Sus scrofa: one gene and its partners. The protein of the gene in region 1 purifies or fractionates together with the protein of each later gene. This does not show direct contact. Links are inferred from orthologs where the notes say so. Each region holds a gene or a part of one and is shown in the gene's direction. Other genes may lie near its edges. The genes, in order: SMC3, REC8, CDCA5, PDS5B and NIPBL.

Evidence for each region.
Region 2: the proteins of SMC3 (region 1) and REC8 purify together in Homo sapiens (affinity purification with mass spectrometry; 3 studies listed by BioGRID and IntAct, with this or other methods). This does not show direct contact. The link is inferred for Sus scrofa from reciprocal best matches to the Homo sapiens genes SMC3 and REC8.
Region 3: the proteins of SMC3 (region 1) and CDCA5 purify together in Homo sapiens (affinity purification with mass spectrometry; 7 studies listed by BioGRID and IntAct, counting the BioPlex papers as one, with this or other methods). This does not show direct contact. The link is inferred for Sus scrofa from reciprocal best matches to the Homo sapiens genes SMC3 and CDCA5.
Region 4: the proteins of SMC3 (region 1) and PDS5B purify together in Homo sapiens (co-immunoprecipitation; 7 studies listed by BioGRID and IntAct, with this or other methods). This does not show direct contact. The link is inferred for Sus scrofa from reciprocal best matches to the Homo sapiens genes SMC3 and PDS5B.
Region 5: the proteins of SMC3 (region 1) and NIPBL purify together in Homo sapiens (affinity purification with western blotting; 4 studies listed by BioGRID, with this or other methods). This does not show direct contact. The link is inferred for Sus scrofa from reciprocal best matches to the Homo sapiens genes SMC3 and NIPBL.

Annotation. Positions count from the first base shown.
Region 1 is NC_010456.5:120,992,766-120,998,661, forward strand, and holds part of SMC3 (structural maintenance of chromosomes protein 3), read left to right. Parts: intron 1-400; coding exon 401-504; intron 505-954; coding exon 955-1,054; intron 1,055-1,381; coding exon 1,382-1,542; intron 1,543-1,856; coding exon 1,857-1,998; intron 1,999-3,896; coding exon 3,897-4,047; intron 4,048-5,824; coding exon 5,825-5,896. UniProt on the Homo sapiens protein: Central component of cohesin, a complex required for chromosome cohesion during the cell cycle. The cohesin complex may form a large proteinaceous ring within which sister chromatids can be trapped.
Region 2 is NC_010449.5:75,122,562-75,129,188, reverse strand, and holds the start of REC8 (meiotic recombination protein REC8 homolog), read left to right. Parts: upstream 1-2,575; 5' UTR 2,576-3,749; intron 3,750-3,906; 5' UTR 3,907-4,007; coding exon 4,008-4,063; intron 4,064-4,162; coding exon 4,163-4,231; intron 4,232-4,335; coding exon 4,336-4,478; intron 4,479-4,563; coding exon 4,564-4,639; intron 4,640-5,048; coding exon 5,049-5,169; intron 5,170-6,627. UniProt on the Homo sapiens protein: Required during meiosis for separation of sister chromatids and homologous chromosomes.
Region 3 is NC_010444.4:7,105,626-7,111,333, forward strand, and holds part of CDCA5 (sororin), read left to right. Parts: intron 1-2,153; coding exon 2,154-2,591; intron 2,592-2,757; coding exon 2,758-2,838; 3' UTR 2,839-5,708. UniProt on the Homo sapiens protein: Regulator of sister chromatid cohesion in mitosis stabilizing cohesin complex association with chromatin. May antagonize the action of WAPL which stimulates cohesin dissociation from chromatin.
Region 4 is NC_010453.5:9,012,661-9,019,083, forward strand, and holds the start of PDS5B (sister chromatid cohesion protein PDS5 homolog B), read left to right. Parts: upstream 1-2,033; 5' UTR 2,034-2,236; intron 2,237-6,423. UniProt on the Homo sapiens protein: Regulator of sister chromatid cohesion in mitosis which may stabilize cohesin complex association with chromatin. May couple sister chromatid cohesion during mitosis to DNA replication.
Region 5 is NC_010458.4:22,273,319-22,279,214, forward strand, and holds part of NIPBL (nipped-B-like protein), read left to right. Parts: intron 1-1,159; coding exon 1,160-2,785; intron 2,786-5,896. UniProt on the Homo sapiens protein: Plays an important role in the loading of the cohesin complex on to DNA. Forms a heterodimeric complex (also known as cohesin loading complex) with MAU2/SCC4 which mediates the loading of the cohesin complex onto chromatin.

The DNA of each region.
Region 1 (5,896 bases):
AGCAGCCTTTTGCGTTTTAGTGTATTCCTAAGTCTCCTGTGTTCTTGTGTATGTGTGGAAAGGGGGCAGTATGGAAAGTATGCACTACAGTGTTTTGAGAATTTATTAATGTGTTTTTTCTTCTTTTAGAGTTATGTGTTAGAGAAGTAGTAAGGTCAAAGTTAGTAGTGGTGAACAAATTAATTGTGTTTATTCGTTTATATGCCTGTTAAGCCATTGCCACAATTAATATAAACTTTTCATCACCCCCAAATAATTCCTGTTCCCCTTGGTAATATCTCCCTTGCTTCTTTCCTGTCCTCCTCCCCCATCCTCTGGTAATAACTGATCTGCTTTCTGTCACTATGGATTACTTTATATGAAGGTGGATTTTAAATTTGAGTTGTTTTTATTTTCATAGAAACTTGATCAGGATCTTAATGAAGTCAAAGCTCGAGTAGAAGAACTGGACAGAAAATACTATGAAGTAAAAAATAAGAAAGATGAATTACAAAGTGAAAGAAAGTTAGTATAGACTGAAATATTCTTTATTTTTTTTATTTATTTATTTTTTTGTCTCTTTAGGGCCACACTCGTGGCATATGGAGGTTCCCAGGCTAGGGATCTAATTGGAGCTACAGCTGCCGGCCTGCGCCACAGCCACAGCAGTCGAGATCCGAGCCTTGTCTGCGACCTGCGCCACAGCTCACGGCAATGCCAGATCCTTAACCCACTGAGTGAGGCCCCAGATCAAACCCACAACCTCATGGTTCCTAGTTGGATTCATTTCTGCTGAGCTATGATGGGAACTCCTTCTTTAATATTTTTTTGAGTAATACTTGTTACTGGCTGTTAAGTGGTATTTAAGTTATAAATTATTAAAATTTAATTTCAGTACCTACTCAAAATTGTATACTTTTGGTGCATTGTCTTAATGCTTTTAAAATTAAAGACAGTCTAATTTTTATTTATTAGTTACTTGTGGCGAGAGGAGAATGCAGAACAGCAAGCACTTGCTGCTAAAAGAGAAGATCTAGAAAAGAAACAGCAACTTCTTAGAGCGGCAACAGGAAAGGTTCGCAGGTTCTTTTCGTTACCTTAGTTTTCATTGAGTCAGTTATTGGACAAGAATGTATTAGCTTTGAAGAGAAGACTGCAAATTACTTGTCTTATGAAACCATGGGTATTATTTAAGTACATTTGCTAGTAAAGATAGCACTTTTCATTTTTAATGCGAATGTCGGAACATATAAGATATTGCACGTAGTTGGCATATTTCAAGGGAGTGACCTGTTTTTGGAGAGAGTGTTTAATCTAGTATATTTTTTACTGTATAGAGTAATGAGTTCTTACCAGCAGAAGTACCATTGGCAATATTTTAATATTTTTCACTTCTAAATAGGCCATTTTAAATGGAATAGACAGCATCAACAAAGTACTAGACCACTTTCGTCGAAAAGGAATAAACCAACATGTTCAGAATGGCTATCATGGTATTGTGATGAATAACTTTGAATGTGAGCCTGCTTTCTACACATGTGTGGAAGTCACTGCTGGAAACCGGTAAGATTTTTTTGTTGTTTTGAATTTTTAAAGGAAAGAGGGAATACGGGTAACCCAAGAAACAACTCTTTGTAGTTTTACTACATTATGTCTCCCAATATCATCCTGTATCCTTAGTTACTCATTTTTTTAATTAAAGATATACATGCTAAGTGTTGTTTCTAACTGTAAAAGCTAAAATTTCCCCTTTTTGTACTTTTTCACTCTCGATTGGATTTGCTCTCCCCCATACAAATAAGATTGCATAGAAAAAAAGTAAATTGTTTGCTTAAATGTTTACAGCACTTTAGACGTGTTGTTCTGTTTACATGTAGGTTATTTTATCACATTGTTGATTCAGATGAAGTCAGCACGAAGATTTTGATGGAGTTTAATAAAATGAACCTTCCTGGAGAGGTTACTTTTCTGCCTCTTAACAAGTTAGATGTCAGGGATACTGCCTATCCTGAAACCAATGTGAGTTGATGTGTGTTAAAGTCTGCCTTTCTTTCAGTAAGTTTTTTCTTGTGTTTAGCACATGCTAGTGCATGGGCACTATACATTGGGATTCACATGGTCTGTGAGATAAATAGGCCTTTCTTACTGTAGAGCATAGTCAGTGCTGGGTGAAGAAGGGAAGGGAGATAGAGATAGAGGTCCCAGCCAAGACATAAAACAAGCCATTTTAAAAAGCGGAAACTGTTAAAATATATTAAGTACAGGATATGTTGAGAGTGTATCTTAGATAAAGTTAAGATTAAATAGTTGGAAAAGAATTTCCTGAGGAACTATCACTTTAAAGTGAATATATTAAGGTTTTCCGAATATACTTTTTCAAATCGTTTAAAGTTAGAAGTGTCTAGCAAGATGATAGAGTCTGAAAGCATAATGTTGCTTTTGATATTAGTGGCTATACTTTTTAAACAGATTAAAAATATTCCCTTGTACAAGTCAACCTTGTAAATTAACTATACTTGAATTAAAAATATTCCCTTAGATATCATTCTTGAAAAAATGTAATTGCTTTTAGGTGTTTGGCTTCAAAATGTTGATAGTAGTAGCAACTCTCACTATTTTTTAAGGTTAAAGCTAAAATCCTATGAGAATGATCTACAATTTAAAAGGAACAGTGAGAGTCTTATAAGCTGTTTAATTGGTTGACTTTTTTTTTCCTTTTAAATCTATAAATTGTCTTTGAAGTTTTAGAATAAATTGAGTCATATGTGATATGTGAATAAAGCAAGACACAAAAGAATGCATGTAGTATGATTCCCTTTTTACTAAAAAGTAAACTTAGTATGATAGAACAAGAAAGTGCAAGGACGCGATTACCACAAAAGTTATAATAGTGGTAACCTCTAGCAGGTAACCATTAGAAGTAACCACTGTGATTAGGAAAGAGCTACACACATGGCTTCTGGATGTATTTTCTTTCTTGTCGTACATGGTGGCTATATTGGTGTTCACTTTGTAATTACTAATTTAGGCTTAACATATTTATGGTATTTTTCTGTATGTAGAATGTATTTCCTAATTTTGAATTCTGTTCTGACAGTTTAGGAGAGAGGGGAAAAATTTTATTTGAAAAGTTATTTTTCTGAATATCCAACTTAGATAAAAATAAAATGAAAATATTTTGAGGAAACACTAGTAGTTTACATTTAGCCCTTCTATTTGACAGGTGCTATCCTAAGAGTTTCACATATATAACTCACCTAGTCTTTTTTGGTGTGTGTGGGGGGAAGCACAGGTGCAGCATATGGAAGTTCCCAGGCTAGGGGTTTAATCGGAGCTACAGCTGCCAGCCTACATCACAGCCACAGCAGTGCCAGACCTTACCTGTGTCTGTGACCTATACTCCAGGTCATGGCAACACTGGATCCTTAACCCACTGAGTGGGGCCAGGGATTGAACCCACATCCTTATGGATACTAGTCAGGTTCACTTCTGAGCCACAGTGAGAACTCCGTAACTCACCTTGTCTTAACGTTGTCATTAAGGTAGTATTTTTATTACAGTTTTGTAAATAAAATAACTGTTATATAGAAAAGTTAAGTAGTTTGTCCAGAGCACACATCTGAGTGGCAGAACTGGGATTTGAACTTGAGCAGTCTGGCTCCAGAGCCACTAAGGTCTTTATCACTGTGTTCTAGTATTGAAAACCTGGATGATTTACATGAGCACAATTTCTAAGATTTTTCAATAGAGTGATTTTTCTAACATTTTCAGTGTTTTACCAATCATATGGAAACATTAATATAAAAGTATGAAGACATTTGTGTTTATTTGTATTTCATAAAGATGTTATTCATAATTCTGCTAAGACATTTTAATTGTGTTATGGTCTCTTTGTTAACAAAATATTCATTTTTCAGGATGCTATTCCTATGATAAGTAAATTGAGGTACAATCCCAGATTTGACAAGGCTTTCAAACATGTGTTTGGAAAAACACTTATTTGTCGTAGTATGGAAGTTTCAACCCAGTTGGCCCGTGCTTTCACAATGGACTGCATTACCCTGGAAGGTTTGTAATAATTCTTAACTTTGAGTAAATAGATTCCATTTTAGTTTTAAGAGTGTTTGAAATTCATGTCCATTTATTTCTCATTTTTAATATAGTTGGTTTATCCAAATTTATTCAAGTATAATCATTTATTCTCTAGTAAGGTTTCTTAATCTTTTTTGTACCATGAACTCTTTTTGGTTTTTGGTGAAGCCTATGGACCCTTTTCAAAATATTTTTGAGTATATAAAATAGCTTTGGATTACAAAAGACACCAGTTACATTGGCATTGTTATTTTTTAAAATATGTTAGTAATTTATTCTTTAAGGTATTCAAAAATTTTGGAGTTCCCCTTGTGGCTCAGTAGAAACACATACAACTAGTATCCATGAGGATCGGGTTCAGTCCCTGGCCTCTCACAGTGGGTTAAGGATCTGGCGTTGCCATGAGCTGTGGTGTAGGTTGCAGGCAAGGCTTAGATCTGGCAGTGCCATGGCTCTGGCGTAGGCCAGCAGCTTAGCTCCAATTCAACCCCTAGCCTGGGAACTTCCATATGCTGCAGATGTGGCCCTAAAAGGAAAAGAAAGGAAAAAAAACCATGAGATTTAGCAATGGTTCTCCTAAATTTTATCAGAATTTGGGTTAAAAACCTCTGGTATATTGGTTCGTTCACCTTCGTTTTCTGTATTTTCCTTCTCTTTGTAGTTTGTTAATGAAAGAAGCTTTACCTCTATATGTTTAGAAGTTTTTGTTGTTTTGAACCATCTGAAAATAAGTCATAAAAATTGTGAAACTTCATCTCTAAAAGTTAAGCATGTGTTTCCTAAGAATAAGGACATTCTCCTTTATAGTCATAGATCATTGTTATAGCTAAGAAATTTAATATTAATCCAATTACATCATTTAAAAAGTACATTCAAGTTTTCTTAATTGTCCTAAAATATTTTTCTGTCTAGGATCCAACAAGGATGCATGGAATACTTTCTCTTTAGATTCTTTCAGTTTCAGTACAGGACAATTCCTCCTATTCCTTCCCACCCTTAGAAATTGACTTTCTTGAAAAAAGTTTTGTTTTCTGGATTTGTCTTATTCGATTCATTAGGTTTAGGATAAGCATTCTTGAAATGAGTGATGTGTACTTCCTATTGTGAACACAAAGTGTGCACTGTCACAGATGCCTACTAGCAAATCTTGGTTGTAAAGAAGCTTTTTCCCCTTTGTAATCAGTAAGTGGTATGTGAGATTATCCTTTGAGAATACATCAATATTAGGTTTTCCAAAAACTTGTTTTACCAGTGGTTTAGCATCCTTTGGTGACCCTTGCCTGACTCGGTTAATACATTGAGGGTTTCAAAGTGGTGATTCTTAAATTCCATGATTGCTTTCACTATTATGTAAAGAAGAGCCCTGTCCTTTTTTTAATGTATTATTGTGATTTGTGGATTTTTAATTTTTATTCAGTGTATTCACACATTGCCATTATTATTTCTGATTTTTAAATTTTCCCAAGTATGGCCAGTAGGAATTCTAAGCTAGGGCTTGTGTCCTGTTGACTTGTTCCTATTAGTCTTCAGCACTTCTTTCCTTTATGGTAGATATTCAAGCTCACCTAGAAGGTGTATTTTTTAAATGCACTTTTTCATATTGGAAAGCAAAATTTTTTCCAAAGTGGCTTAAACTTTTAACTTAGTAATTCTAATTAAATAGGTAAAGCCTTTACATTTGTCATTTGATTATTAATTTATTGTTGAATAAAGAAGTTATTATACAGAATTACTACCTTTCTTTTGTTTTTAGGTGACCAAGTTAGTCATCGGGGTGCTTTAACTGGAGGCTATTATGATACAAGGAAGTCTAGACTTGAATTAC
Region 2 (6,627 bases), on another chromosome or scaffold:
CATCCTCATGGATACTAGTCAGATTCGTTTCCATTGCACCACAAAGGGAACTCCCGTAAGTTTGTTTCCTATATCTGTGGTCTGTGAGTCTTTTTTACTCATGCATCTCTCTTTTTTTTTTTTTTTAATTTTAAATGTATTTTTCACAGTGGCACCTGCAGCATATGGACGTTCCTGGACCAGGGATTGGATTTGAGCTACAGCTTCATGGTGCAGCAGTTCTGGCTCCTTTAACCCACTGCACCAGGCCAGGGATTGAACCTACACCTCTGCAGAAACCCAAGCCACTGCAGTCAGATTCCTATTTTTTTTTTTTTTCAAGGCCATACCTCAGCATATAGAGGTTCCCAGGCTAGGGTTCAAATCAGAGCTGTAGCAGCCAGCCTACACTATAGCCACAGCAATGCCGCTAGATCCGAGCCTCATCTGCAGCCTACACTGCAGCGCAAAGCAATGCTGGATCCTTAACCTGCTGAGTGAGGCCAGGGATCAAACCTGCGTCCTCACGGATGCTAGTCAGATTCTTTTCTGGCTGAGCCACATTGGGAACGCCTGCAGTTGGATTCTTAATGCACTTAAGCCATGGTAGTAACTCCTACTCATGAATTTCTTGATGGATACTTAGGTTGCGTCCATGTTTTGGCTGTTGCAAGTAATGCTATGAAAATTTAAGTGAATGTGTCTTTTAGAATGAGTATTCATTTCTTCCAGATATATATACCCAGGAATAGGATTGCTGGATCATATGGTAGCTCTATATTTAGTTTTTTAAGGCACCTCCATACTATTCCCCATAGTGGCTGTACAAATTTTCATACTCACCAACAGTGTAGGAGAGTTCTCTTCTCTCCATACCTTCTCCAGCATTTATGATTTGTAGACTGTTTTATTTTTTTTTTTTTTTTGTCTTTTTGCCTTTTCTAGGGCCGCTCCCTAGGCTAGAGGTCCAATCGGAGCTGTAGCCGCCAGCCTATGCCAAAGCCACAGCAACTTGGGATCTGAGCCGCATCTGCAACCTACACCACAGTTCACGGCAACACTGGATCCTTAACCCACTGAACAAGACCAGGGATCGAACCCTCAACCTCATGGTTCCTAGTGGGATTTATTTATTTATTTATTTATTTTTGTCTTTTGTCTTTTTGTCTTTTGTTGTTGTTGTTGTTGTTGTTGCTATTTCTTGGGCTGCTCCCGCGGCATATGGAAGTTCCCAGGCTAGGGGTTGAATCGGAGCTGTAGCCACCGGCCTACGCCAGAGGCACAGCAACGTAGGATCCGAGCCGAGTCTGCAACCTACACCACAGCTCACGGCAACGCCGGATCGTTAACCCACTGAGCAAGGGCAGGGACCGAACCCGCAACCTCATGGTTCCTAGTCGGATTCGTTAACCACTGCACCTAGTGGGATTTATTAACCACTGAGCCACAATGGGAATTCCTAGACTGTTTGATGATGGCCATTCTGACTGGTATGATACGATATGACATTGTAATTTTTATTTGCATATTTTCGTTTCTCTAACAATTAGCAGTGTTAAACATACTCTCATGTGCCTATTGGCCATCAGTATGTCTTATTTGGAGAAATGTCTTTTTTTTTCTCTCTTTTTGGCCACCCTCTGGTGTATGGAGTTGCCAGGTCAGGCATCAAATCCAAGCCACTGCTGTGACCTCCACCACAGCTGTGGCAACTCTGGATCTTTTAAGGCACTGTGCCAGGCTGGGGATTGAACCTATGTCCTAGAGCTGCAGAGACACTGCAAATCCCACTGTGCTACAGTAGGAACTCTGAGTGGCTCTTTAGGTCTTTAGGTCTTCTGCCCCCACCCCCCCAACTTTGCCACACCTGCAATGTGTGGGTGTTCCTCTGTCAGGGATTGGATTGACCTGAGCCACAGCAGTGACAATGCCTTATCTTAAACAGCTAGGCCACCGGGGAACTCCTGCCCATTTTTTGATTGGGTGATTGTTTTTTTGATATTGAACTGTATGAACTGTTTTTGTATTTTGGAAATTAAGGCCTTGTCATTTGCATCATTAGCAAATATTGCCCCTCAGTCTACAGGTTGTCTTTTCCTTTTGTTTATGGTTTACTTTGCTGAGCAAGAATATATATACACATTCTTTTTTTCACACTATCCTCCACCATGTGCCATCACAAGTGATTAGATACAGTTCCCTGTGCAATACACCAGGTGTCTCATTGCTTATTCACCCCAACGATAGTTTGCATCTACTATTTGTGTTTCGTTAGGTCCCATTTATTTATTTGTGTTTTATTTCTTTTGCTTTGGGAGACTGCCTTAAGAAAATATTGCCGTGGAGTTCCCGTCGTAGCTCAGTGGTTAACAAATCCAACTAGGAACCATGAGGTTGCAGGATCGACCCCTGGCCTCTCTCAGTGGGTTAAGGATCCGGCGTTGCCATGAGCTGTGGTGTAGGTCGCAGACGTGCGTTTCTGTGGCTGTGGCGTAGACCAGCAGCGGTAGCTCCAATTGGAAACTTTCCTAGCCTGGGAACTTCCATATGCTATAGGTGTGGCCCTAAAAAGACAAAAGACCACCCCCCCCAAAAAAAAAACAAAAGAAAATATTGCTGTGATTAATGTCAGAGAATGTTTTGCCTGTATTCTCTTCTAGGAGTTTTATGGCATTATGTCTTATATTTAAGTCTTTAAGCCATTTTATTTTTGTGTTAAGAAGTGCTGAGTATTAAAGAAGCAGAAGCGTGCCCTGGAGTCAAGCCTGGGGAGGGCATTCTAGCTAAAGAAATGACTGTGTAAAGGCAGGAGGTGTGGGAAAAGGGATATTCGTAACTACAACCATATAGCTTATATTACACAAAGAACTGTCTGAAACAAATGATTTTTGTATGCTGAGAAGTATGCCCTGCCTCCAACAAAACTTTAAAAGTCTCAACCAGGAGAACGTTCACACTGCAAAACAACCAGGTGAAGAATGTCCACAACCTAAACTGTTCAAGCTTAGGAAACGACGGGCCAGTCCTCTCACTGCTTCCTGCGGGATCTGATTTCTTTCCCATTGATCCGTGGCAGCTCCAAGGCCAACTCACACCCTTTCCACCTCCCCAGCTCATTACAGGCCCTAGGCTGGGCACAAAGGTGGACCAACCAATTGCTATTCGGTGAGATTTGGGGAAAGAGGCAACATCTAACTGCAGGTCAGGGTGCCAGGACCTGGCGGTTGCCCCGGGCATGACCTCACCTCCTGGATTTGTAAAGGCGCCCTCGTTGCCAGGCTCCCTGCAGGCAGAGGCTGGGATTTGCTCCTCGCTCATTCGTCAGCGGAGAAGCGCCTCCAAGGAATCCCTGTTACCAAGGTGAGGACGAGAGCCCATTGGTCGGGACATCTCACAATGGCCCCACCACCCCCAGGGTTCTTCCCATTGGTTAGCTATCTGCCTCGGGAGACCCCTGTTGCCTTGAACCCAAGTGGGCGGGCTGCTTGGTGGCCTGGAACTAGCGCCCCCAAGCTAACCCTGTTTTCCATTGGCTGTTCCCGGAGCTGCTGCCGTCTAATGAGGAGCGAAGGACAAAACACCCGAGCACGCGCTCCCTGCGGCGGGATCTAACCCTGCGGGAGGGGGACCCGGCTGGCACCGACGGGACCAAAGGTGTGCAGAGGCCGGAGGACACCCGATCTCCCTTGGACCCTGGTCTGGATTGCACCCCAGGCCTCCCATCACGGAGTTCTGAATCTCCAACCCGGAACCCAACCCAGAAGTCTCCAGTAAGTTCAAAGCACCCATGTGGCGTGACCCGCTTCGGGCCCGCGGAGAGGGAGACCCTACGCCAGTGTTTGCGTCTTCATTTCCTTATCCCTTTAGTCGTTTATCAGTTCATTTATTTGGCATTCTGGGTCCACCCTCCGCACCACCTGTTCACAGCCTTCTCTCTAATGCTGTTGGGAAACCCTGTGTCCTGAAGAATTCGGATTGAGATCCGAACGGAAGAGTGGTGGAGACGAGGGTGAGACCTCGGAGGGACCATGTTCTACTACCCCAGCGTGCTTCAGCGCCACACTGGCTGCTTCGCCACCATCTGGTAAGGGCAGACCAGGGCAGGCAGGGCTGGCCGGGAGGGGCCCCCACGGATCCCAGGCTGAGGGCTCCCCCTCCAACCATCCCCCCACCCTCTTTCCAGGCTTGCGGCGACGCGCGGCACCCGGTTGGTGAAGCGTGAATACCTGAAGGTGAATGTGGAGAAGACCTGGTAAGGCCCAGAAAAGGGAAGAGCGGCCTGGGGCCCGAGTGGGTTAGGGGATGGATTGGGCTGGTCTTTGGCATAGCGGCGATCGGGGCACGTTGTTCCCCCAGCGAGGAAATCCTCAATTATGTGCTGGTACGGGTGCAGCCCCCGCTGCCTGGTCTGCCGCGGCCCCGCTTCTCCCTATACCTCTCAGCTCAGCTCCAGATCGGCATCATCCGGGTCTACTTTCAACAGTGCCAGTACCTCGTAGGTAAGGCCAGGAAGGTTCTGAGGTGGGGCAGAGCTGCGTGGCCCTGGCCTGGGCAGGTTCTCTGCCTTATCCTTCCTGCCCACAGATGATATCCAGCATATTCTGGAGCGCCTGCACCGCGCCCAGCTGCAGATCCGCATAGACATGGTGGAGACTGACCTGTGAGTGTGCCCCTGGGACTAGGACCATCCGGCCTTTGCTGGCAAACCTCCCTGCTTGGCCTCAGCCCATTTCAGCCTCAATCCCCTTTTTAAAAAAAATTTTTTTTTAATTTATTAATTTTTTTTTATTTTTTGCTTTTTAGGGCTGCACCCACGGCATACAGAGGTTCCCAGGTTAGGGCTTGAATCAGAGCTGTAGCTGCCAGCCTATGCTACAGCCACAGCAATGCAGGATCCAAGAGATATCTGCGAACTACACCACAGCTCACAGCAATGCCAGATCCTTAACCCACTGAGCAAAGCCAGGGATCGAACCTGCGTCCTCATGGATGCTAGTCAGATTCTTTAACGGCTGAGCCACAATGGGAACTCCCAGCCTCAGCCCTTGACACCCCACATTCCCCCTCAGACCTAGCCTGCTTCTTCCTAACCATCTGGCCATAATGGAGACTCTGGAAGATGCTCCAGATCCCTTTTTTGGGATGATGTCTGAGGAACCCAGATTGCCCAGTCCCTTCGATATCCCTCAGGTAGGTCTCATTCCCCTGGGGCACCTTGGACTGATGAGTTGACAGTGCACAGGGGAGGGCAGGAGCTTGCTGCAGTCAGTGCAGACCCATCCAGACAAGCGTGATGCACTTATCTATTCAGGACCAACCTAGAGGCAGCCCTTATCTCCACTGTCTCCACACTGTTCCAAGAGTCAAGGCCTTAATCCAGGCGCTCAGTGTGCCTCAGCATTGGGTTTCCCTACCCACGTCTTTGTCCATCCATTCCTAACACCCCTACCACTTATACAGTGTTAACTCCCCTCCTTCAAAGACACCTCCAGCGGCTCCTCACTGCAAACAGAATACTAACATTTAAGGCTTTCCATCCTGGTCCAGAGGCAGCCATCCCAGATGCCTCTCAGTGCATCCCCTGGGCATCTTTGTCTCCCAGACACCAGCCTGGCCCATTTGCCACAAAGATGCCACATTCCCTTCTTTGTACTGTTTCTCTAGCCCATAATGGTCACTCTTTGTTTTCTTACAAACCTTGCTCAAATGCTACTCTTTTACATGAAGTCTTTTTTGTTTTATTTTGTTTTTAGGGCTGCACCTGCAGCATATGGAGGTTCCCAGGCTAGGGGTTGAATTGGAGCTGTAGCTGCCAGCCTATGCCACAGCCATACCATATCCAGGCCACGTCTGCGACCTATACCACAGCTCATGGCAACGCCGGATCCTTAACCCACTGAGTGAGGCCAGGGATTGAACCTGCATTCTCATGGATGCTAGTCAGATTTGTTTCTGCTACACCATGATGGGAATGCCTACATGAAGCCTTTATCCCACACCTGGCCAGAACCAAATGTTGTTCTGGAACTTACATATCACCTGTGTTTTATCCTTTGTGTTTATTTATTTTGAAGAACAAATTAATTTAAAAATTTATTGAATTATAGTTGATTTAAAATGTATTAGTTTCAAGTGTTTCAAGTGTTCAGCATCATTTGTGTTGACTCTTGCTGGGGTCATAACAAAACTCCTCTCCCACTAAACCATACGCTTTTTCTTCTTCTTTTTTTTTTTTTGTCTTTTAGGGCCACACCCCCGGCATATGGAAGTTCCCAGGCTAGAGGTCAAATTGGAGCTGCAGCTGCCAGCCTACATCACAGCCATAGCAATGTGGGATCCAAGCCGCATCTGCAACCTACACCACAGCTCACGGCAATGCCAGATCCTTAACCCACTGAGTGAGGCCAGGGAACCTGCGTCCTCCTAGATACCAGTCAGATTTGTTTCTGGTGAGCCACAACGGGGACTCCTTGAGATCATACACTTAAGATCAAGAATCCTTTTGGTTTGCTCTGTCCCCCACAACAGTTGACAAAAGGATGCAGTACTTCTTTCACAGACAAACTGACACAGGCTAGATATTTGGGAAGAAAGGAAACCAACAGCTTGGTGGGTTCACTGCATGCTGATGTCAGTGCCACAGAATTA
Region 3 (5,708 bases), on another chromosome or scaffold:
AGCCACCCCTGTCACACAGGACTCAGCTCAAAGGACAGCTCCTCCTGGAAGCCTTTTCCATGTGGTTCTCCATAGGCCTTGTTCATAGCTGAGAGTATATTATTTGCATGTTTGTTGTCTCGAGGGCAGACTTCTGCCTCCACTATGATAGCCACTCTTTCTTATTGGTCGAATAATAGATTCATGAAATTGAGCCCCCCAAAAAACTGCAAGGACGTGGATGACTGCTTAGCTGTAGGGATTGAGGAAGTAGTCAGTGACCCCTCATTTTGTTCAACATCCCTTTTACTTAGACTCATGGGGCAGATTCCCCAGAGCTTGTACCAGGAACTAACCCTCCCCCCTCTCTTAATCAGTTTACTTTTTATTTTATTGAAGGATAATTGATTTACAGGGTCATGGTAGTTTCAGGAACTGGCTTGATAACCAAATATAACTTTATTAGACCAAAAGTGTCACTGAATTTGTCTTTTTTCTCTCCTTGCCTTGGCCGTCAGGAAACTCAGTGCCACGTTTTGCATAAGTTAATTCAGTGAGCATTTATTGAACACCTGCTGCATGCAGGGCTCCGCTGAAGGCGCTAGACATGGGCACAGGCAAGGTTAAGGTCCAACAGGTGGAAAGCCCTGCTCATATGTGAAGCTCACAGTCTAATTGGGTGTGACAGTCAACCAGTGAACAGCGAAAATGAGATAGTGATGGACTATCTGAGTCCACAAGGAAAAGCACGAGGTTTGGGGAGCAGTGGCTTGTTTGGTGTGACTGCAGCCGACCTTGGCAGGGAGTGTGCTAAGCCAGAGCGGCCTCCAGGAAAGAGGCCATTGTGACGGAGGGTAACTGGCAGGGGTGAGGACGGCTGGTCTCCAGTCCATGGGGAGGGTGGCCTCCCTGAGGAAGCAGCATTTGAGCTGAGATCGGAATTACGAGGAGCCAATATGTGAGCCTCTTAATGCTCATGTCAGATTAGGCACTGTTCCCACCCTTCCCGTGGCTCCTTGGGTCCCGGAGCAAGAGGCTCCATGGGTCTCCCCTTACTGTGGCCACAGAGCGCCTCCGACGCCACCATTACCACCTGAGCTGCATCTTCGGGTCCTCTCTTCACTTCTCCCTTGGGCCACGCTGGCCTTGTTCCTTGACCCCGATTGGCACACTCTCACCCCAGGACTTTTCTGTTCTCCCTGCCTCCCTCCCAGTTAAATTACTCCCTCAGCTCTTCAAGTCATACCTCACGTGCTACCCGAGTGAGGCCTCCGCTGCCCTGCACCTACCCGAGTTCCAGCCCACTCCCGGGGCACCCTCCCCTCCTCTCTCTCTTCCCAAGGTGCTTAATGCCTCTGATGGACGATATGACTCTCCCGGTTACCTATTTCCCCCGCTAGAGTGGAAGCTCCATGGAGCCAGGTTTTCTCTGTTTTGCTCCCTTCTGGCTCCCAGTGCCCAGAACGGTGCCTGGCAGGTGACCATTAAGAACTTATTGGCTGGGTGGACATTTTAGGAAAATCATCACCAGCTGTGAGACAAACGGATCAGAGTGGGCAGGGCGGCGAGGAGGGTGTTGAGCCGGAGGGACAGGGACCGGGGCACCCGTCACAGGTGGGTAGATTGCAGTCATGTTTTAGAGCCAGAGCCGGCGGCTCCAAGGGGTGGTGGCCGGTCCTCTTGGGGCACGAAAGTGGACTCAGGAACAGTGACCGGCTGGTCTCTTCCCCATCCCACATCTGTCTCTGGTCTGATGTATTTCCTGACCCATCTCCACTTTTCTTTTTTTTTTTTTTTTGCCTTTTCTAGGGCTGCACCCGCGGCACATGGAGGTTCCCAGGCTAGGTGTCTAATCAGAGCTGTAGCCACCAGCCAGAGCCACAGCAACGCGGGATTCGAGCCACGTCTGCGACCTACACCACAGCTCATGGCAATGCTGGATCCTTAACCCACTGAACGAGGCCGGGGATCGAACCCACAACCTCATGGTTCCCAGTCAGATTTACCCGCAACCTCATGGTTCCTAGTCGGATTCGTTAACCACTGAGCCACGACGGGAATTCCCTCCACTTTTCCATTCTAAAGTGCCCCCGGGTCGGTCTTTCCGCCCTAAATCAGGCCTTTCTCGAAGTAGAACAACTAACAGGGAGGCGTTCTCTCCTGTCCTGGTACAGATCGCGTTTTTCTTGGAGAAAGAAAACAACCCTCCTAGCAAGGAGCCTACTAGGGAGGACCTCTTCCAGACACGCAGTGTCCCTGTCACTCCCACCCCCACTCCTGTGCTGTGTTCCCTGAACGTTGAGTCCAATTCAGGGGAAGGAGACCTGGACGCCAGAGACTTGGAAATGTCAAAGAAAGTCAGGCGATCCTACAGCCGCCTGGAGACTGTTGGCTCCGCCTCCACCTCCACCCCGGGCCGCCGGTCCTGCTTTGGCTTTGAGGGGCTGCTGGCCACAGAAGACTTGGCTGGAGTCTCACCTGTGGTGGGTTCAAAGTTAACTGAGGTCCCCAGGGTCCCTGTGAAGCCCTGGGCACCAGACACGACGCTCCCTGGGATCTCGCCACCAGCCGTGAAGGAGAAACGGAAGAAGAGGAAGGTGCCAGAGATCTTGGTGAGTGAGGGGCAGGGGCACGGGGAGATGTGCCAGGCACTGCAGGGCCGAGGCTCAGCCCTGGCTGTTATGGGGGAAAGGCAGGGCCTCCAGGGTCTGGGACGAGGCGCTCTAGCCAATGTGCTCCCCTCCCCACTCACCTGCCCCCCCATCTCTCTTCCCCCAGAAATCGGAGCTGGATGAATGGGCTGCGGCCATGAATGCTGAGTTTGAAGCTGCTGAGCAGTTTGATCTCCTGGTTGAATGAGATGAGATGGGGGTGTACCTGGCCACGCTGCCCTCTTCCCCCTGTACATAATCCCCTCGCCCTGTGGAGAAGCCCCTTGGGGTCCCCTCCCTTGGTTTTGTTACCCGTGCACGTGCTATTGCTGCACACAAGGCCTGTCCTTTGGGCCGTCTTAGCTTCAGGAAACGGGGCCCACCTGGCCCAGCCACACACTGGTGTCCTGTCTGTAGTCGGTGACCTACGACCCTCTGCCCTCCTACCTCCTGGAGCATCCCAGCTGGTTTCCAGCTGGGCCACGGACTAGGGAGTAGGACTCACAGGCCCAGCCAGAGGAGGTTAAAGGGCCAGGAGTTGAGAGTGAAAGAGAGCATCTGTGCTCTTGTTGGGAAATGTGTCTGCTTTGCAGCAGCCCCACCAGAAATGGATGCTGAGGGCCACAGCCAGACTCAGGCTTTGTCTTCTGAGTTGCCGCTACTGGGGCTTGGTTCCCAGCCACGAGGCTCGGGTATCCTCTTAGGTTCTGTAGAGGGTCCAGGAGGACTGTCCCCGTGGATTGGAGGCTGTTCTCTCCAAGGAGGAAGCTGGACACGCAGCCTATGGAGTCTTGAGTTTTGAAGGAGGAAGGGAAGACTTGGCTGGGTCTCAGACTGTACACGTTTACTACATAGAAGCTGTGTTCGATAGTTTTGTGTGTTCTGCTGTTGGGATGTTCGGTTAAGCGCCAGGCTGGTGTGGCACTGACTGCTTGGGGCAAAGAAGGTGCCTCCAGATGCCACAGAACCTGAGGCTCAGGGCATTCGGACTGATGCCAGCAGAGGGCCGGAAGGGGTCCCTCTTGTCACTCACACCTGTTTGTTAGTCTGCTCAGCTCTGGAAGAAAAACGTAGGGATTGAATGGTCTGGGTGACATTAGTCTTTTATAAGGTTCTAGGAAGCTTTTCTCATGGGCCGGAAAGGGGCCAGGGTGGAGAGCAGTTTAAGTTTCAGCGTCCTGAGCATCCTCTCACATGAGGGCACTGCCTGAGGTAGGTGCTAGGGGCTGAACTCGGGCGGGAGGGGGGTCATCTCATTGTCTGGGGATCCCCCCTCCCCAGCCCCTGTTTCTCTTTGCTCAATATTGACAAAAGGTGAACTTTCAAAGGCTGTCCAACTACAACTTCCACCATCGTGCAGGCCACGGTGCCCTTGACGTGTGCAGGTTCATGGACATAGAGGCTAAGGGGCAGGGGGCTCGCAGACCGCAGAGGGCATCAGGGAAGCTGAGCACTTGCGTGTTAGGGTACCTGAAATGGCTCGAGCCTAGTGGGCGTTAATTAAACTCGGTGGGGCCTAGCGGTCCCCGGCCACCTGTCCAGCGCTTGGTGCTTTGTCAGACGCCATAAGCAAGCCCTTTTGCCAGGATGGGCCCAGATGCCCTTGACCACACCCGAGGAACCTTGTCTTCACTGGCTGGCGGCGGGACGGTTCCTGGGAGGTGTCTGTCCTGCAGAATCAGGAGTAGTCAAATGATGTTGAGTTGATGTCCTATCTGCAGACTTCTCTCTGCCCCTGACAAACTAAATGGAGTTGAGGGAAAACTGTCTTAAAAATTTTTTTAAACAATCAATTAAAGAGTTGCTGCCTGTTCATAGACTGTTTCTTTTGCTGGGTCAGAGCTGGAGCTGAGGGTGTGGTGTGGGCCCAGGAAGCCACGCTTTCTTCGGGCTGTGTCACCAGGGTTGTTGTCCCTGTACACTGGGGGCGCTGCCAGCCTGGCCTCCAGTTGCCCTGTGGTAGAGCCCCCACCCCTACCCCCAGGTCTGTATTTTCCATCCCGTTGGTTACCTGCTGCTCCTGGCAGGGCTGCCTGGAGGGGAGCCCCACGCCCTCCCGACCCAGGAATAGAGCCGTCGGGTCTGGGGTGATGAGGCTGCTAAGAGCTTTTCTCAGTGCCTGGCCCTGGCCCCTCCACCCGCCCTGAGTCCAGCCCTTGTTCCCCTGCTCCTTCTTGTCAGACTCCTGTGAAGGAGCCAGTTCCTCCCACACTGGCCCAAGCTGGGTGCTCTACAGCAGTGGGTATAGAGCCCCTTGGGGAGCTGGTCAGAGGCGCATGTTTCCAGGAGTTCCCGTCGTGGCCCAGGGGTTAACGAATCTGACTAGGAACCATGAGGTTGTGGGTTCCATCCCTGGCCTTGTTCAGTGGGTTAAGGATCTGGTGTTGCTGTGAGCCGTGGTGTAGATCGCAGATGCGGCTTGGATCTGGTGTTGCTGGGGCTGTGGTGTAGGCCAGCGGCTACAACTCCAATTAGACCCCTAGCCTGGGAACCTCCATATGCCATGGGAGTGGCCCTAGAAAAGGCAAAAAGACAAAACAAAAACAAAAACACGTTTCCAGGAGGTCTCCCAGGAGGCCCAGGGCCATACATGCAGCTTGACGCCCGTGGCAGAGCCACTCTCCTTCCCCTCATCCTTGACACTTGTCCTTGGCTCCATCCTTTGAACAAATCAAGGCCTTTATATCCTTCATTTCTCCCTAAACCTCTCCACTTCCACCCCCTGCCCTTACCCAGAGGGAGAGCGGGCTCTTTTCAAGGCCAAGCTTTGCGTTGGCTTTTGCTCCACTTCCCTCATCTCTGAGACTTTGTGCCTCTTTCTCCTACAAGTCTTATGTTCATTATTACAAACAACCGCCCTAATCCTCACTGAGAGTCTTGTCCAGTGCCTGTTTTCAGCTTTTGCCCTCACACCTTTCAAGGTTAAGCTCCTTGAAAGAATGTTCAAAGTTGCTCTCTGCTTCTGTTCCATTTACTCTGGGTGCCATCACTCCATTCACTGCTCAGGTGGAAATAACCAGTGGACCCCATACCCAACACTACAGCCTGGGCTGAGAGCACCTTTCTTGGGGCCATAGT
Region 4 (6,423 bases), on another chromosome or scaffold:
CGAGCTGGTATCCTCAAGGAACCTAGTCAGGTTCATTAACTGCTGAGCCATGAAGGGAACTCCCAGATTTGTGGGGTTTTTTTTATAATCAAAGATAATTCTTTTAACCAAGTCTGTATAAAATCAGAATTTTTTTTTTTTTTTTTTGTCTTTTGTCCTTTTAGGGCCGTACCCGAGGCATATGAAGGTTTACAGGCTAGGGGTCTAATCGGAGCTGTTGTTGCCGACCTAAGTCACAGCCACAGCAACGTCAGATCTGAGCCGAGTCTGCAAACTACACCACAGCTCATGGCAATGCCAGATACTTAACCCACTGATCGAGGCCAGGGATCAAACCTGCAACCTCATGGTTCCTAGTCAGATTTGTTTCCGCTTCGCCACGATGGGAACTGCAAATCAGAATTTTTTCATCATTCTCACCACTGATTTTTTTTTTTTGTCTTTTTAGGGCCACACCCACACAGCACATGCAGGTTCCCAGGCTGGGGGTCCAATCAGAGCTGCAGCCACTGGCCTACACCACAGCCAGAGCAAGGACAGATCTGAGAAGAGTCTGCATCCTATAACACTGCTCAAGGTAATGCTGGATCCTTAACCCACTGATCGAGGCCAGGGATTGAACCTGCAACCTCATGGTTCCTAGTCAGATTCGTTAACCACTGCGCCACGACGGGAACTCCCGGTTTATCTATCTTAAATTATGCTGCATCCAATTGTACTGCTCCTGATGAACTACAATTTGCTTATTTTTTGGACTTTATTAGATCAATTTTAAGTTTATAGCAAAATTGAGAGTAAGATACAGAGATTTCTCATATACACCCTCCCCTCACATTCGGTTTTTTTAAAGCCCTAAAGACAGACATTTATTTTTAATACTAATTTCTTTTAATACCAACTTCAGATTTGTTTCCCTAAATAGTGTTGCTTTAAATGAAGGTTTATATTACTAATTTCTGTAAATCCATTTGCTATTGCATACAACATAGTTCCTTTTTTTTTTAAGCAACTGCTTCATTTAATCCTCAGAGATTTTTTTTTCTCTCTCCATCCTAATAGTAAATCTCCAGATGAACTTTCTTTTTTTTTTTTATTTTATTTTAATTTTTTTTGTCTTTTTGTCTTTTTTTTGTTGTTGTTGTTATTGTTGCTATTCTTGGCCGCTCCCGGCATATGGAGTCCAGGCTAGGGTCGAATCAGAGCTGTAGCCACCGGCTACGCCAGAGCCACAGCAATGTGGGATCCGGCCGCGTCTGCAACCTACACCACAGCTCACGCAACGCCGGATCGTTAACCACTGAGCAAGGCAGGACCGAACCGCAACCTCATGTTCCTAGTCGATTCGTTAACCACTGCGCCACGACGGACCCCAGATGAACTTTCAATATACTCGTAGTACAGCTGCAGAAGTGAGGAGCGGCATCCCCTGGAGGTGAAGGGGGTTAGAAATCCACCTCCCAGAAGACTTCCTTGTGTTCTTCAGATTATTTCTCCCTGTAATAAGGACAATTGTGATAAAATGAATGGAATGCTTTGTTACAGGTGGACTTGTTATGTCCTCGCAGCCACCGCCTAAACAATACCTGAAAATGGGACAGCTGTGAGATTAAGTAAAGACATAACATATAAAGTGCAAGAACAACAAAAACAAAAACAACTCAGGGCATTTTGAGATGACTAGGTCAGCGTTAGCAAGGAGCAAAGTAGTTAACATCAATTTTATTTACTTAGCACGATATTAGTATTGTTTCATTGTTTTAAAAAATTCCCAACTTTTATCCATAAAGGTAGAGGTATATAACAATTTACGTGGTTTTCGGCAAAAGTCAAGGAAGCCTTAGAAGCAGAGAAAGCATTGACAGCCCCGGGTCTCGATGTCACAGCGGCGGCGTGCCCGTGTGACTGCGTGCGCGCGCGACGGGCGGGGCGGAGGCGGGCACGCGCGGGCGCACGGGGCGGGGCGGAGGGGAGGCCGGCGGGCACGCGCGCGAGGCTGTCCGGTCGGCAGGGGGCGCTGCGCACCCACGCGGCGCTCTGCCTGCCCCCGGTGCTGTCCGCGGCGGTTCGATTGGAGCAGCCGCCGAAGAGCTCTTGGCGCCATTTTGAAGCGGAGAGGAGGAGGAACGGCGGGGCTGGCTGCGGAAGGGGAGGGGGGGAGGAGGCGATTGGATGCGGCGGCGGCGGCGGATCCCGGAGAGCAGCGGAGTGAGAGGAGTAACGAGTCGGGCACCCGGAGGTAGGAAACAATTCAGTTAACGGGAAGAAAATGTCTCTTCTCTCTGGTCGCCGCGCTCCATTTTTCAGCGCCCGCCACCGCGGCTGTGTCTGTGGCGGGGCTCAAGCGCCGCCCGCCTGCCAGCCGAGACTCGCTTCCAGGCATCGGGGGCTGCAGCCGCCGGCTGCCTGGCGGCGGCGGGGCCGGGAGGAGTGGGGCGCGGGCCGGGGGCGTGGGCCCGGCTGTGCGGTGGGGGGTGGGGAGGGCCCCTCGGCCGCCGTGTTCCCTCCACGCCGTGGGCTCAGCCGCAGCCTCTGGAAATTAAACTTGCCGCCCTGGCCCGACCGGGGCGCCCGCGGCGACGGAGGCGGCGGGCCGCGGGCGGTGACCTTGCGCGCGCCGGGGGTCCGCGCCCGCTGCCGGGCTGCCCGGCCGCCCCGCAGCCCGCGCCCCGCCGCCGCCCCTCCCCCCCGCGCCCGGCCGGCCGGCGGCTGTTTCCCGGGCGGCAGGCGGGCGGCGCGGCGCTCCTGTTGAATCCTCCCGCGGGCGGGTTTTCCCCCTTCCGGGCGAGGGGCGGGGAGCGCGGGTCCCGGCTGACCCCGGGGCGGTTTGCGGGCCTCGGCCCTTCCGCCCCCGCGGCCGGGTCCCCCGCGCCGGGCCCGCTCCGCGCAGCCTCTGCTCCGGGCGACGACAAGGGCCGATAGAGTGACATTTTTATACGGTTACTTGCCAGTCGCCAGAGATAAAGCGCGCTCACCGCGCCTCTTGGAGCTGGTGCTGGGGGCACCCGAGGACCTAGTTGGGGAAGAGTCCAGACGGGCTGGAGTGGCTCCTCCCTGGCGACCACTGAGTCCTAGCTTTCCTTTAGGAAGCCTCGGAATTGGAACGACAGTGCAAACGGTGTCTGGTTGACGTTTTTTTGAGTCTGTTATCTTACTGACACCTGAAAAGTTTCTGGTCGGGAGAAAAAGCTTGTTTGTGGTTCTGTGCTGCTTTGCCTCTTGGTACATGCGCTGAAGCCGCGACACGCTAAGCCCTGGTACAGTTATTCGAGGGAATGACTCCGAACCCAGAAACGTAGCACCTCCGCTTCAGAACTGCCGCTTCCTCCGTTCCTCCGCGGCCCGTGCAAACTCGGGATAGGGTTGGAAAGAGCGTTTTGGGCATCCTAATCAACTCCAAAAGAGAACCCTTTATTTGACTTTGAAAAACGTACTTCGAACGCTCTTATACTTTTATTATGAAATGATGGCTGGACGGTACTGTCCTGAACGACCCTACCAACCCTGTTTATTAAACCATTTCGGAAATTTTGGATATAGCCTTTGATTTCGAAGGTTTAGTCTGTGGTCTTGAGTGATTTGGGGGTCACCGGCTGTCTTCCTAATAATCATTAAGAATCCAAGTTTATTTATGTATATAAGAGGCGAGCTGTACATGAGTCATAATTATTTAAAACTTGAATGGCAAAACCCCCCCACAAAAACCCAAAACCTCGATGGCAGTATGTATAATCATTGTTCTCAGCATATGTATGTGAAGTCCCAAGATAGAGTATTTTCTGTTCTAACTTATACAGTAGTCAAGTAAAATAGTTAAAAACACAAAAATGGTATTAAGCAAAATAAGGGTTAGAAAAGACACTTATCTATGCACTGCATATGTCAGAAATGTTAGCATTTTTAGGAACCGTAAAATGAGCATTCTTATGGTGTATGCAGGTCAGTTTGTGGAACAGTTAATTTTGTATCACTGAGTAGTAGCAGAAAACCTAATTAAAATTTGTAGTGGTGAATATATAGGTGAAAGTTTCAACATGAAACTTCTTATGTTAAGATAGATTTATTTTGAAAAACTTAGGTGTAAAAAAATTAAGTCAGAACATTATTCTTTCAAAATGAATTTACAAGTGTATATAGAAAAGGTGCGTTTTAGACATTCTTTGATTACTGAAGTAGTTATTTATTTTTGCCTTTTTGATGGTTTAAAAAAATCTCTGGGTTTTACTTGAAGGTGTATTTTAAATGACATGGTAGTGTTTGTATTGACTTTTTTTTTTTGCCTTGAAGAATTTTTGTGCTCTTTCTTATTTTTCTTTTGTTGAGGTTGATTATCCATGCATTAACTTTGTTTTTACAGAAGCTTTTTATTAAATTAATTTTTTTAAACCATTCCCACCCCTACAGTAGCTTTTTACTCTTCTTGTCACTTTCATTCTTGTATGCTTATGCTTTCTTTTCCATCACTTTCCCCAAGAATTAGAGGAGATAAAGTGATGATAGTGATTCTTGTTGTCATGGGATGTTGTACTAGCTTATTTGATAAGTAGTTGTACTGAGTTGGATTTTGGATAACATTTTTAAGTTTAAAGTTGTTTTGAAACTTTAACAGTCACAAAGAGTTATGTTTTGAGGACTAGGCTTTATCAATAATTGGTTAGGCCTAAAATAAAGCAATACTCTATATTAGGGCTTGCTCTGGTGAAAAGTAAATGGTAACCAAAACTTTGTGTCAGGGGGAATATTTTGGAAGATTGTATTCTTTCTGCTTCTCCCTCTTTGAGTAGTAGGATTGTCCTGTGGCTTCCTTAGTGCTACTTTTTCATCATGTGTGCCTAGAACCTACAGGAGAGCTTACAGTGATTTGGTTTTGATGACAAGTACTGTATATATACTCAAAAGAGTAGATTTGTGTTTCCTTTGTTAGTGTTAGGGAGCTATAAGGAAACATAGATGATTTCCACCTCACTTATCATATGCATGAGACATTAGTTCAGATTATAATTTGAATGGTTTAGCCAAAGTCACAGTTATATCCTTATGGTGGAATTGGGGTAGTCCTTAGATCTCCTGGAGGCTTAGAAGCATCCACATGGTCTGTATTGTTTTATTCAGGATTTAAGCAATATTTAAAATTATTGCCAGATAGCATCTTATTTTCTATCCCCTCCTCCCTTTTTCATTCATTCAACCAAGAAATAGAGTTTCGAGGTTAACACAGAGTCTGGTTGATAACGTCTATCCAGGATTCAGTCCACTTAAATTATCTCAGAAGATAACCTCTTTCTTGTCTGTCTCCTGGAGCCGCTTGATCTTTCATTGGGTAAAAATACTTGACAAGGCATTTATTTATTCTTTGTTACACTTTTAAGCCAGGGTAGTTTGGAAGTTAGTATTGAACTTTATTTTGTTATAAGATGTATATGTCTGTGCATGTGTGAGGTTTGGTTTTTTTTTTTTTTTTTTTGTCTTTTCTAGGGCCGCTCCCACAGCATATGGAGGTTCCCAGGCTAGGGGTCTAATTGGAGCTGTAGCCACCGGCCTACACCACAGCCACCGCAACTCGGGATCCGAGCCGCATCTGCAGCTCACACCACAGCTCACGGAAACTGAGCAAGGCCAGGCACTGAACCTGCAACCTCATGGTTTCTAGTCGGATTCGTTAACCACTGCGCCACAATGGGAACTCCTTTTTTTTTTTTAACTTTTAAACTTTTAAACTCAATTTACTATGCAAGTCATTTGTCACTTCCAATTACAGTAGGTGCTTGGGGAAATTGTATTTGATATGAATATTCCTGTTTGGGAATGTTGAAAATTCCAAAAATACTTAGTTTAAAAAGAAATCCAGTAATTTCTCTGAGAACATATTTACTTTTTAAGCTTATTTAAGAAGCTGCCAGGTGATTTGAAATTCTCACTTCTTGCAGTGGAGAGGTCAGTTCTTCTTTACACTATACTGTTATGAACTGCCTGTTGATAACCATTTTCCCCAATACTTGAAAATGGTTTTATAACCTTTTCTTACTAAGCCAAAATTAAGGGTAAGTTTGCTGCTTTGAAACTGTAATCGTTTAAGTTGGTGGGGGTGATCATGCTCAGTGAGAAACTCATGAAGATTAAACTAAGGTGAGTAAAATTTAGTTATTTGAAGTAAATCTAAAGCTCTTCTGAGATAATTATAATATCTGCAATAGTTACTGAACTCTAATGATTAGACATCAGTACTGAGCAATAATTAGAAATACTTGGTTTAGCTGTGCAAAACTTGTAAGGCAGCTAAGTGGAGTGGAGGAAAGACTGATGAGGCATCTTTAAAAGATCCATGATCTGGAAGTACTCCATTCATTGGCTTACTCCCCTCGACAGAGAATGTTCTGACCTGATTCAGTTAAAATGAACAAATATTAGGCTTCATATATGTATTGT
Region 5 (5,896 bases), on another chromosome or scaffold:
CTCCTTCTCACTTTGAAAACAAAATGATGGAACTTTGGTGTGTAAAAGAATCATTACTATTAAAATCTTTTTTTCCAGGACTCTGTTCCAAAGTATTAAGGGGCTGTTTTTTTGGTGGTCAGTTTGACTTTTCACTTTGTGATCCTGTTTGCTTAAATGATAGATACTTTATCACATTAATGAATACCGTAAGAGAATCTAAAGGTTATCCTGAAAAAAATGTTTAAAATGACTTTTAAAACCGCCAGGCAATTCAGCAAGTGTTATTAAAGTAGACAAAAATCTCAAGATGCTGTAATGTTATAGTTGTAAATCACGTTATAATTCCTAAGACCTAACTGGAGATTCAGTTTATAGAAAATGACCTTAGGAGCCTCTTGGGTCAAGTGGAATCATGCACAGAAATACCTAGCTGTTAAAAATACCATGACATTTAATTAAAGTGATAGATTTATGTTTGTGTGTATTTTGTCTTTATATTGTGGAATACTGTAAATTATTTCTTACCGAGCCAATATATAGACCCCCTAGACCTTATGTTGAAGAGCTGAAGCATTTTTCTTCAGTTGAAGTTGCTTGAGATAGGATTTATCTAAAAAGTTCTTATTATATGCTTCTCATTTCTATACTTGTATTTTCCTTATCTAAATATGCTTCTGTGTGTTAGCTTTTAAATTCCATTTGTGCTGTTGACACCTTGAAGAATTTGAATCCTGGATTAATAATAAACTATTAAATTTTTCTTTTTCTTTATTACTCTCCTCATTCACCTTTTTTTCAGTGGCATGATTTCTATTTTATTTTAGGTTTTATTCTTTTCCATACTTCTCTTACTTGTGGCAAAAGTTTAATTTCCTGTTTAGTATGTGGGCAGATTTGGAGCTCTTTGTAGTTTTTACTAGCTTAGCAGTTTAAATGATCTTTTTACTATAGTCACTAATACCTACTGAGGTACAGCAAGCATGAATACTTCCTCAAACCTTGTTTGAAAAGTATTATGCCATTCGTGCTTACTATTTTATATATGTCTGTTGACATTTGCATTCACCACATTTGAAAAACATTGTGACTTTAGAAACTAGTCAAAGTCCATAAGGTTTTTAATAAGATAAGAATATTTGTCTATTACTGATACTGAATATTTATCTTTGAATTTCAGATAAGCCTTTGAAAAAAAGAAAACAAGATTCTTACCCACAGGAGGCTGGGGGTGCTACAGGAGGTAATAGACCAGCTTCTCAGGAGACGGGTTCTACGGGAAATGGGTCAAGGCCAGCATTAATGGTTAGCATTGATCTTCATCAGGCAGGAAGAGTGGACTCTCAGGCTTCTGTAACTCAGGATTCAGACTCCATAAAAAAGCCTGAAGAAATCAAACAATGTAATGATGCACCTATTTCTGTTCTTCAGGAAGATATTATTGGAAATCTTAAATCTACACCAGAAAACCATCCTGAGACTCCTAAAAAAAAGTCTGATCCTGAGCTTTCAAAGAATGAAATGAAACAAAATGAAAGTAGATTGGCAGAATCTAAACCAAATGAAAACAGATTGGTAGAGACAAAATCTAGTGAAAGTAAGTTAGATACTAAAATTGAGATACAAACAGAAGAACCTAAACAGAATGAGAGCAGAACGATTGAATCCAAGCAAAATGAGAGCACCACAGCCGAGCCTAAACAGAATGAAAATAGACTGTCTGACACAAAACCAAATGACAACAAACAAAATAATGGTAGATCAGAAACAGCAAAGTCAAGACCTGAAACCCCAAAGCAAAAGGGTGAAAGCCGACCTGAAACTCCAAAACAAAAGAGTGAGGGGCGTCCTGAAACCCCAAAGCAAAAGGGCGATGGACGGCCTGAAACTCCAAAGCAGAAAGGTGAGGGCCGACCTGAAACTCCAAAGCAAAAAAATGAAGGTCGTCCTGAAACACCAAAACATAGACATGAAAATAGGAGGGATCCTGGAAAACCATCAACAGAGAAAAAACCTGAAATGTCTAAACATAAACAGGATATTAAATCCGATTCACCTCGGTTAAAATCAGAAAGAGCTGAAGCCTTAAAGCAGAGACCTGATGGGCGATCTGTTTCTGAGTCACTAAGACGTGACCATGATAGTAAACAAAAGTCAGATGACAGGAGTGAATCTGAGCGACATCGAGGTGATCAATCTAGGGTTCGAAGACCAGAAACATTGAGATCCTCTAGTAGAAATGAACATGGCATTAAATCTGATGGTTCAAAACCTGATAAACTAGAAAGAAAACACAGACATGAATCAGGGGACTCAAGGGAAAGACTGTCTTCTGGGGAGCAGAAATCAAGACCTGACAGTCCTCGTGTTAAACAAGGAGATTCTAATAAATCAAGACCTGATAAGCCTGGTTTTAAATCACCAAATAGTAAAGATGACAAAAGGACAGAAGGCAACAAGAGTAAAATAGACAGTAATAAAACGCACCCTGACAATAAGGCAGAATTTCCAAGTTATTTGTTGGGGGGCAGGTCTGGTGCATTGAAAAATTTTGTCATTCCAAAAATCAAGAGGGATAAAGATGGCAATGTTACTCAGGAGACAAAGAAAATGGAAATGAAAGGAGAGCAGAAAGACAAAGTAGAAAAAATGGGATTAGTTGAAGATCTAAATAAAGGAGCTAAGCCTGTAGTTGTTCTGCAAAAACTGTCTTTGGATGATGTTCAGAAACTTATTAAAGATAGAGAGGATAAATCAAGAAGTTCCCTTAAACCTATCAAGAATAAACCATCAAAATCAAATAAAGGTAAGAATACTTATTCTGTCATCTGTATTCTAATCAGTTTTCTTTTGATTTTTAGGGTTACTATGGATTTTTCTGAAAGGGAAATTTACAAAAATCAATACTACTATATGAAAATAAAACTTTTATATAAAACAACAGTGAATTATTTACAGTAATGTAGATAAAAAGTTTTCCGTGAAAATTCTTTTTTCCCACTCTACTTGAACTTCTCACCATAGTTGTGATTTTACTATTGGTACACAGAGAAAAGGTTTTTTTCCTGTTTAATTGTTTCATTAGTTTTGAAAGTTGCAATAGTTTTTTTTTTTTTTTTTTTTTTTTTTTTTTTTTTTTTTTTTTTTTTTTTTTTTTTTTTAATAGTTTTGCCCTTTCCTATGGAAAAGTCATAGGAAATGGAATTTAACCTTCTTAAATTGACTTCAGTCATCAATTTGTAAGGCTTTTTGGTACTTTTGTTTGGGTGGTTTTTGTCTTTTTGTTTTTTTGGGGGGAAAAGGGTTTGGCATGATTTCTAAGTTCTCTGGTTACTTGAGTGATATTGTTTCTGGGGGTGTCTTAAATGCTTGAATATTTTCTGTACAGTGGCAGTTTGTACAAAAAATATAATTTTGTGTTCCTTTATATATTGTCTTTTACACACACACACACACACACACCACACACGTAATTTGATGATGCTGTATGGTAAGATTTATTTAGCCTGTGCAATATAAATAGATTGGTATATAGTTTAAACTATGTAAAATTAAAAATTTATATCCTCAATAGCTATATATGACAAGTTGCTTCCCTTATTGCAGATAGAGAACATATGCATCATCACAGAAAGCTGTGATCTACTGCAGTGTATTAGGAGATATAGAAGGTATATTGGTATTTTTGTAGAATGCTGTTATACCTTCTCTGTTAAAAATAGCTCATTGAAAACAGTATTACTACTTAGAACTCTTTATTCAAAGAAATAACTTTTCATGACTAATCTGTCTTTATTCTTAGATGGTCTTCTCAAATGTTTGCTTTTTTCACTATTCACTCAGTTTTGTCTTTCAAAAATGAAAAGATTGCCTCTGAGTCATTAATATTTGTATTATTTTATTGAAGCTTTCAGATTTTAAATTATGCCAGTCAGGCCTGTGGAAATTAATTAAAACTCTAGCTTTAATTGGTTAATAGTCTTTAGTATTTTAAGTTGAACGCCTCTTTTTAGAATTGTTTATGTAAAAGAATTTGTTAGAATGTAGTGGTTAGCACTATAATTGTTTTCTTTTAGATAAAGATTGTCTTTAATAATTTTCATGAAAATTTGGAGTGGCTTATATATATATTTAAACTTAAGACTATAATTACACAACTTTAGAAAAGTCAGTTGGAAAGATGGAAAGTGGTACCCTCTTGTCCCCTTCATCTGGACCATCTTTTTCTCCCCTGCCCTCTGTCAGCTTATGCCAGCCTCGCTTTCTGAGCTCTGTTCTAACAAAGAATCCTTACAGCTGAACATCAAGAAATGAATATAGCTCTTAATTAGTAACTGCTGTGTTATTGCCCCTGTTTTTTTTTTTTTCACATATGATTTCATTGCTTGTGAATATAAACTTTTTGATACTAATCCACTGTTTCTCCTAAATATACCTTTAACACAAATGTATATACTTGATATGTTGGTGTTAGTAACTAATCTGGGTGTGTCTGCCTGTTAGAATATGATGTTTGTGTGTAAGCATGTGCATGTATGTAAATACACATATTAATATGTATGCAAATATAAAAAGTGAACCTTTTCATCAGTGCTTAGATTCATTTCATGATCCCACATAGATATCTTTTGGCTTTATTTATGCCATAGCTTTAACAACTGTTTTTCAGTAATGTACCAATTTTAGCTTTATTTTAGATCTCTGCTACTCAGCAATAGCAGAGGTACATAATTGTGGATTTTTAAAATTACATACATAGAAAGGGCCAGTTGTGGATTACTACTTCATAGTGCACATTACTTGGGATTGTCTTTGGATAGTTACAGAAAATGACGTATTCAGATACATTGGTGTTTTCCTAAGCAAAAACTGAATATTGCCGGGATACTTTGTCATTGATTCCTAGGGCCAAAATTCATGGTACGTTTCCTTTCTTGGAAGAGCTATAGCGTTTCGTTGTTTAAATATTTTACCTGATATCCATATTTAAAATATTCTCTCAGGTAAATTTTTCTGACAAGTTATAGTTTGTGACTTTATTTAAAATTTTGTATTATAGTTGATTTATAGTGTTCTGTCAATTTCTGTTGTACAGCAAAGTGACCCAGTTATACATATAGATGCATTCTTTTTCTCACATTATCCTCCATCATGTTCCATCACAAATGATTAGATATAGTTTCCTGTGCTATAGAGTAGGATCTCATTTTTTATTCACTCCAAATGCAGTAGTTTGCATCTACTAACCCCGAACTTCCAGTCCATTCCAATTCTTCTCCCTCCCCCTTGGCAACCACAAGCCTGTTCTCCATGTCCATGAGTTTGTTTCTTTTCTGTAGATAGGTTCATTTGTGCCATGAATTAGATTCCAGATATAAGTGATATCCTATGGTATTTGTCTTTCTCTTTCTGACTTCACTTCACTTAATATGAGAGTCTGTAGTTCCATCTAGGGTAATTTTAAATTTTTTGAATATGCCTTAAGCTGATAAATTTTGAGTGGTAGGGCTATAGGTTTATGACTCCTAGTATTTATTTTTGTCTTTTGTATGAACATTTTAAATGTAAAGTGACATTGTTGTATTTAATTTTATTTCTCAGGGGATATGTGTATATCCCTAGAATCTAGCATAATACCTAGTACATAAAAAGCACATTAAATTCCTGTTGAGTGAATAGACTCTATTACCACCATGTTAGAAAAGGTTTTTGTGTGCAGATTAAAATTGTGTATTCATCTTTTATGTTCCTACCAGTATATAGCACAAGAGTTACATAATTTTCAACTGTTCCCTGAAGTTTCTAATAATTCTTTCTACCCTGACAACTATGTAGTTCTTGTTATGATCCAAAGACCTATTCATGTCTGTTTATTCTTTGTCTGTATTTTGCTGTATAGCTTTTACAGGATTGGCTC